2 linked regions of the Canis lupus familiaris genome follow. The protein of the gene in region 1 purifies or fractionates together with the protein of each later gene. This does not show direct contact. Links are inferred from orthologs where the notes say so. Each region holds a gene or a part of one and is shown on either strand. Other genes may lie near its edges.

Region 1 (3,500 bases):
GCTGACCACTCCCCCCAGGCCTTCTGTGTGGCCGAGGAGCAGTTGGGCATCCCAGCCCTGCTGGACGCTGAGGACATGGTGGCCCTGAAGGTGCCAGACCGGCTGAGCATCCTGACCTACGTGTCACAGTACTACAACTACTTCCATGGACGCTCCCCCAGTAAGTTGGGGCTGGAGGCCCCCCCAGGCCTTGCATCTGCCAGGCTGGCCCTCTGTCTTGGGCCCAAGTGAGCCCCCCTGCCAGCTCAGTGGTGGTTTTTAGCACCACCCGGCAGGGCAGAAAGCAGCAGGGAGGCCTCTCTGGAGTCACATCCGTGGGGCTCCCTGAGCTGTGGCTTCCTCCCCGGGGGAGTAGCCCCCACCCTCCTGCCACCATGAGGGTCCGAGCCCCCCAGACCCCACACTCACCTGTGCACCAAACAAAGGCACCCAGATCTTGCCTCTCCTTCCCCTCTGCACCCCTGGAGCCCATGCCCACAAGTCTCGCCTCAGGCAGCTTGGCAGACCCTGTGTGGGCTCCGAGGCCTGGCTCCAGAGGCGCCCCCCCACCCCCGTTTGGTCCTGACATTTGGCAGGCCGGTGGGGGATGGGCCCAAGGGACTGGACTCCAGCTGCTCTGCGCACCCCGAAGCTCAGCTCCTTCCCCTCCCCTCACATTCCTCATCCAGGCCTTAGAAATCCCCGGAACCACTCTGGGCACAGGACCAGCCCCGCCTTGATATTTCCACTTTGTGGAGAAACAGAAAAGTTCCATTTCCCTGACCCCAGATCGGGGCTCTTGGAGCCTGGGGGGAGGGGCGTGGGTCAGACCAGGCCCCTGCTGGGAATGTGTGCTTGTGGTTGTTCCAGGCTGCCCCTTAGCCTGCTCCAACAGCCCTGGGCTCCAGGCCTCATGTTATCCACTGGCACCCACAGAGAACCCAGAACGGGGGTGGGGGGGGGTGGGGAGGTGGCCCCAGATACTTTGAGAGCCTGATCTCACATGTCTCATGCCAGTTGGGGGTATGGCTGGTATCAAGAGGCCCCCTTCGGACTCTGATGAGGAACCATCTGGGAAGAAGGCTCCATCCCAGCTGGCCAGGCCCTCACCCACTCCAGCCCGGGGGCAGCCGCTGTCTCCAGTCAGCACAAACCCCACCGTCCAGCGGAAGGATGGGAGCTTAGGAGGCCCCCTGCTGAAAACCGTAAGCACCCCAGCTCCACCTTCCCTCTGATTCTTGGGATTGTGACCTCTACACCGCAGGGCCTGGGATGGGGGTCCCCTTGGCTCCCCAGCACATCCTCAGCTGCTGTTTATCAGGATTGACTCCACATACCCCTTCAATCTTGCATGTCAGGATATGATCCCCGTTGTACAGATAGGTAGAATGAGGCCCAGGGAGATTATGCAGGCCAAGCAGATCTGAGACATTGAACCCTGACGTTTCTGGGCTCCTGAGTGGTTTCTGGCCTCCCGCCCCTCCCTCCTGGGTGGGCCAGGAGAGAATCCTGGGTGTGTCCTTCCCGCCTGCCCAGGGTGTTAGGCACCCCCACTTTCAGAGGTGGGGGGGGGGACAGAGGACGAGTGATGTGCTGTAGTCGGGCGCCCCCTGCTGTCCAAGTGACGAGGGAACTGCGGCCTGGTGTTGGGATTGCTGTACCTCTGGTGGCCTCAGGAGCGCCGGGATCTGGCCCCTGTCCCCCCAGACCCCCAAGGTCAGGCTGCAGCCCCTGAACTTAGAGTCCATCAGTGCCTGGTGGGCTGCTCCCCTCAGGGCCTCAGTTCTCTGGTCTGTAAAGTGGGATCTTCTTGCCTGCTGATGGGGCGGCTGTCAGGAGGAGAGCTGGGGCACATGACCTCTCCTAGCCTATGGTGAGGGCTCAGAAATAGTAACTGGCACCCCTCCCAAGGGCCAGGCCTCTGCAGGCAGCTCAGTCAGCAGCACCTGCGCAGTCTGCGGCAAGCACGTGCACCTCGTGCAGAGACACCTGGCTGACGGGAAGCTCTACCACCGGAGCTGCTTCAGGTAGAGCTGGTGTGTGCCTGTGTGTGCCTGTGCATGCCTGTGCATGTGTGTGTATGTGCATGTGTGTGACTATGCATGTGTGTGCATGCGTGCACCCTTTGTGTGAACCTGTGCATGTGTGCATGCACTTGTGCATGTGCATGCACCTGGGCACGTGTGTGTGTGAGTGCGGCCATGCATGTGTATGCATGTGCGCCTATGCATGTGTGCACACTTCTGCATGTGTATGTGTGCTCTCGTGAATGTGCGTGTGTACCCATGCATGTGTGTATGTGCCTGTGAATGCACATGTGCACCCTGTGTGTGTGGGCCCGTGCATATGTGTGCATGCCTGTGCATGTGTGTGCATGCCCCTGTGTGCCCATGCATATGTGCACTTCTGTGCACATTTGCGAGCATGCGTGTTCACCTGTGCACACTTGCACCCATGAATGTATGCACGTGCACTTATGTGTGCATTTGTGAGTATGCATGTACACAGGCATGGACACTCTAGGTGTTTGCACCCTTAATGAGGATTTGTGGAGTCTGTGACTCAAAATGACTGTTGAGTCTATTGCCACAGGAGTTGGCACAGGGTTGCATGAGTGTGTACTCATGGGAGTGTGTGTGAATAAGGGAATGCACGCATGCCTGCCTGGAGTGTCCTCATGGGTCTTTCTCTGCCCTGTGCCAGGTGTAAGCAGTGCTCCAACACACTGCACTCTGGGGCTTACAGGGCCACCGGCGAGCCCGGCGTCTTCGTGTGTTCCAGCCACCACCCCGAAGCTGCCTCTGCAAGCCCCATGTTGCGGGGCCCAGCCCCACGACAGCCAGGGGCCATACCCTCAGACTCCAAGCCGCCCAGTGCCCCACAGAAGGCCCAGGAGGCAAATGGGCCCCGAGATGCAGGGCCAGAGTCCAGGCCAGCGGCCCGGGAGCCTGTGATGGGCAACTCGACTGCCAAAGGCGTCCCTGCTACGGCCAACCCTCAGGCCACCGCCTCTTCCCACGTCCACGCAGGGAGCCCAGCCAGGCCTGCATTCTTGGCGGGCCTCCAGGGTGGCAGAGCCAGCACACGTGTGGCCAACAGCTCCCCAGCAGGGTGGTCATCGGCGGGACAGCACACAGCAGCAGTAATCCCCCGTTCTGCCCCAACGCCAAATGCCCTGGACTCTCGCCCAGCCACCCCACAGGGCCGGGTGACCCCTCAAGTGGCACCCCCCCACACCAAGGTCAGCTTGGGCCCAACGTCTCCAGGCCCAGCAGACACCCCAGACTGGGCCCCATCAGCAGCCTCCAAGATGCAGCAGGCCCGGGAGAGGTTCTTCCAGACTCCTGGAGCTGCCCCCAGCCCTGGCCCAGCTGGCAGGGCCCCGGCTCCTGCAGATGTGCCTTCTAGGGCCAACAGCAGGGAGCAGGCGCTGAGCTGCCTCCGGAAGGCCCTTCCCAGGCTTGAGACTGGTGCTCCGGCACCTGGCAGGTGGGTGGGGAGGAGCTGGGGCAGGCGGGGTC
Region 2 (4,148 bases), on another chromosome or scaffold:
AATCCAAGAAAGCGGCTGGTGGATGGCTGGGGGATGGATTTCCTCAAAGAATCACCTGTACGGAGAGTGAACGAGCTGCCCCAGGGTGCCAGCAGACCTGGGACCACCGGCAACGCCTAAAGCACACGCGGGGACCCCGGGGACTGCGACACAATCCGAGGAGCAGCACCCAGAGGGGGCCAGGCGTGGGCGACGGGAGACACCCGCAAGGAGGGTGGGCGGCGGCTCCGCTGGAAGCTCCCCCCTCGGCCCCCCCCCCCCCCCGCCGCGCCCGGATCCAGATCCGAGTGTAGATGCCCGCACCCCCCGACGGCGCGGCCCACCTCCGACCCGCAGGTCATCTCGGGCTTCCCAAGCCTGCGCGTCTGAGCTCGGGCCCGGTTCCCCATTCGGGAGCCTGGGGAAATCACTGAAGCTCGGTTTTCTAACCCATCAACGGGCGGGAAGCCCAGTACCAAGCCGGCGGGTCGGAGTGGGGCCACCTGGTGTTGTTTTCCCAGTGCGGACCACTCGGGCAGGCCAACACCAAGCTCGGAGCCACGTCCCAGCATCCTCACGGGGCTGCATCCGCGGCGGGGCGGCCGGCGCTCGGGCTCTGGGCAGGCTCCGGTTAGGTCCGAGGGCCTCGCGGCTCGGGTGGCGGAGGCCCGGCAGCGCCAAGCGGTCCCCTGGCCAGCGCCGAGGCCCCGGAGGACGTCTCGCGGGGACCTCGCTTCGACCCCGGCTCTGCCTTCCCCTTCGCGCGCCGGGGCCCGACGCCGCAGCCGCCGCACAACGCGGCCACCCGCGCGGCCCCTTCCCGCGTTCTTCCCAGCGCCTACTGAGGCTGCGCAGGCGTGAGGGCGGGAGAGCCAGGGCCCGCCGCGCGCGCGCCCTCTGCTGGCGCCTAACGATCCCCCCGGCCCCGTACGCACGTCCCAAGCCCCGCCCCCGAGCCGCGGGCGCGCGGAGCCGTTGGCGACGTGCCCCGCCCTCCCCTCCCGCCGGGGGGCGGGGCCGCCCCGGAGCCGGGAGAGGTGGGGGGGGGGGGGAGAGGGAAAGAAGGCGGGGACCCGGGAGGCCACGCCCCCCGCCGGGCTGCATTTGAAGCCCCCGACTCTTCAGGGCTGGCCAATTGGAGCCCGCCCTGTCCCGAGCGCCGACCAATGAGCGGCGCGCTCGGGCCGCTTCCGGCACCGCGCCTCGCTCGCCCCTTCCCCAGCTCTCCCCGCGACGGGCGGGGCGCGGGAGCGGGCGGCGGCCGCGGTGACGCGCGGCGGGCTGGGAGCCAATAGGGGGCGGGCTCGGCGCTGATGGACGGGGCCCGCGGCCAGTGGCGAGGCGCTGGCCGCACTTCCCGTCGGGGAGAGAGTGTAATATGGCGAAGACCTACGATTACCTGTTCAAGCTGCTGCTGATCGGGGACTCGGGGGTGGGGAAGACCTGTGTCCTGTTCCGCTTCTCCGAGGACGCCTTCAACTCAACTTTCATCTCCACCATAGGTAGCGGGGCCGGGGAGCGGCGGAGGACGCCGGAGGCCCGGGCCGGGCGCGCCCCTGAAGGGCTGGGGTTGAGGGAGCGGCTGGGCCGGACGGATCCAGGGATCTGAGAGGGTCGAGGGGGCCGGAGGGGCGGAGAGCAGCCGCCTCCGCCGCCTTCCGGGGGTTACCGGGCAGCGGGGGGAGGCGGCGAACCAAGTGCCCATTTTGCAGATGGGGGGACTGAGGCCCCACCCCTCAGGCTGCTTGTCAGGAAGTATGTGTCTCGGGCTGGGGTCCCGGCTCCGGTCGTCTCGTTCTGTTCACACGGCAGCCTTCGAAGCTGTTCCTTTGGGGTCCCCGCCTTACAGAAGCGAAACAGGCTTGGGGAGTAGGCCATCGGAAGAGGCCTGTGACATCTGAACCTTATTAAGCATTTACTGTGTGCTAGCCGCTTTATGGGCATTATCACACTTTCCAGTCCTCTGTGTTAGGTGCTCTAAATGAGCCCGTCTCACATGAGGAATTTGAAGCTCAGGGAAACGGGGGACTCCCCCAAGGTCACGTCTGCAGGTGGCAGAGGTGGAATTTGAATCCATGTGGGTCTAACACGAAAGCTCAAGGCAGGATCCTGCCGGAGGGATGTGAGCGCTGGTCCCCAGGGCAAACACTGCTGGTCCATCTGAGAACCAGCACTCTCAACCAACTCTCTCCTGCTCTTTCCTCTGGAATGTTCAGGGGGTAAGCCCGGCTCCCTGACCCTGTTTCCCCTATGGGTGAATTTCTCCTAGAAGGAATGGTGAGAAGGAGTCTGGAGCCTTTCTCCGCCCAAACTTCCATCACTTGAGGGTGTCAAGGGTGAGTGACCACTGCCTGCCCTAGGACCTGTCACCCCCAAGGAGATGCCAGATAAAAACTTGAGTGACAAACCAAAATCAGCCGCTGCCACAGACAGCCCTGACTTCCCTATCTGGAGGCCCAGAACACCAGTTGTCACTTTGCAGAACAGCCTTTCCCACAGGGCCAGCCCACATTGTGGTTGAACAGAATTGGCTTGTTGCTTCTCAGTTCTGATATCCACAAAAGTGGAGCTGACTTCTCCCGACGCCACAAAAACAGCCATTGCCCATGTGAAAACATTTGACCTGGAAGTAACGCCGATCAAATCGCGTGGCCTGTGAGCTCCACAGCCTTGCTGCAGAGTGGTCACCAAGCTCAGGAGTTGATTCTGAATGGGGAAAACCTGGGCACCAGGCTTTGCTTTACCCCCGTGTAACTTGAATCCAATCACCTTATCTCTATGAACCCCGTGATGAGCTGCTCATTCCATCCTTGCCCTCCTCCAGGAGCTGCACGTTACAGTTATGTTCCTGATGCAGAGTGGAGAGAATCGCACTGGAAATCGTCATGCCTGCTTGCCAGCTGTTGTTTGCCCTTGAACCAGCACTTAGCCTCTCTGAGTCCTATTCCTTCAGTTTAGGACTAATGCTTTCTGCCTTGGCCAGTGCCCTGGATGGTTGAGGATCAGAACTATATAGTGAATAAGAGGTGGTCATCATGGCCAGAGGCTGCCTGGAGGAAGCAGAATGTCTCCTGCAGTGACACCATCCCCTCCCTAGACACAGATGCTTCTGATTCCTCCCCTTCCACCACCCCAAGGTCAAACTTTGGGACAACCCTTGCATCCCATCCCCACCGGTCAGGAAGAGATGTTAACTCCTGGCAGGCTGTGGCTCGTCCTCAACCCAGACCTCAGTTTCCCAGCCTCAGGAACTTGCTGTTCAGTACAGGCACTAGTGAGATCAATTCAGAGATTGGGCTTTTTTGTTCGGTTTCTAATTCTCAACCAGAAAGCCCAGTCTAGCACTTTAGGGCTCTGAGAAGACTGGCCTCCACTTCCAGACAAAGATATGACTTGGGCCAGGTCACCTGGGGACACAGGTCGCACTTGAGCCCGGAATCCCTCCCTCCTCCCACCTTGGCATTCTCATTACATTTATAGTTTTCCTGCAGGTCTCTGTCTTCTAAGAAAATTTAATTCATCCTGGCCTTGAAGTAATGGCCTCATAATTCTTAGCCTTGTAAAGTTTACACTTCCTAATTATATTTGGTGTGTTCATGAAATGCAGGAAGAGATGAGGACAGAGTGATGCTGTGGAACCTTGCCAGTAGAACGGTGCTTCTTGATTTTATATGGCCCTGTGCATCTGTGACAGGAGGTGGGGAGTGTTTTAGGAAGGAATAGCACTGGGCCCCTGAGTCCTGAGACACAAACTGACTGGATAAAGGTGATTCTCTGTTGGTGCTGAGTGTACCTCTGGGCTTGCTTTATAGATCAGGGATTAAGTGGCTGTTCGTTTCCTGCCCACGTTTCGTTTTGCCAAAGCCTATTCTCCTAAGCTCCATCAATCATTTGTGGTGTAAACTTGGCCCCGTGGCTCCTGGAATTGCTTCTTCACAGCCTGGCTCAGCTTCCAACGTCTCCTCAGGGTCCCATTCACTCATTCCTTCAGGGAGACAGATGGCACAGCGTCAAAGTGCTTCGTAAACCACGCAGCACCATGTAGACCCCGTTCCTCTTAGTTCTATTGTCCTGCCATCTTTCCCCAATGCCTGCTGGCTGCCAGCAGGGCTGCACATCTGAATGACTGCATGCCAGCCGGTCTGCATCTGCATAACTTGGATGAATCA

Evidence for each region.
Region 2: the proteins of MICALL2 (region 1) and RAB8A purify together in Homo sapiens (co-immunoprecipitation; 3 studies listed by BioGRID and IntAct, with this or other methods). This does not show direct contact. The link is inferred for Canis lupus familiaris from reciprocal best matches to the Homo sapiens genes MICALL2 and RAB8A.

The regions. Positions count from the first base shown.
Region 1 is NC_049227.1:15,644,599-15,648,098, forward strand, and holds part of MICALL2 (MICAL-like protein 2), read left to right. Parts: coding exon 1-160; intron 161-996; coding exon 997-1,184; intron 1,185-1,890; coding exon 1,891-2,006; intron 2,007-2,682; coding exon 2,683-3,468; intron 3,469-3,500. UniProt on the Homo sapiens protein: Effector of small Rab GTPases which is involved in junctional complexes assembly through the regulation of cell adhesion molecules transport to the plasma membrane and actin cytoskeleton reorganization.
Region 2 is NC_049241.1:46,760,030-46,764,177, reverse strand, and holds the start of RAB8A (ras-related protein Rab-8A), read left to right. Parts: upstream 1-1,348; 5' UTR 1,349-1,357; coding exon 1,358-1,481; intron 1,482-4,148. UniProt on the Homo sapiens protein: The small GTPases Rab are key regulators of intracellular membrane trafficking, from the formation of transport vesicles to their fusion with membranes.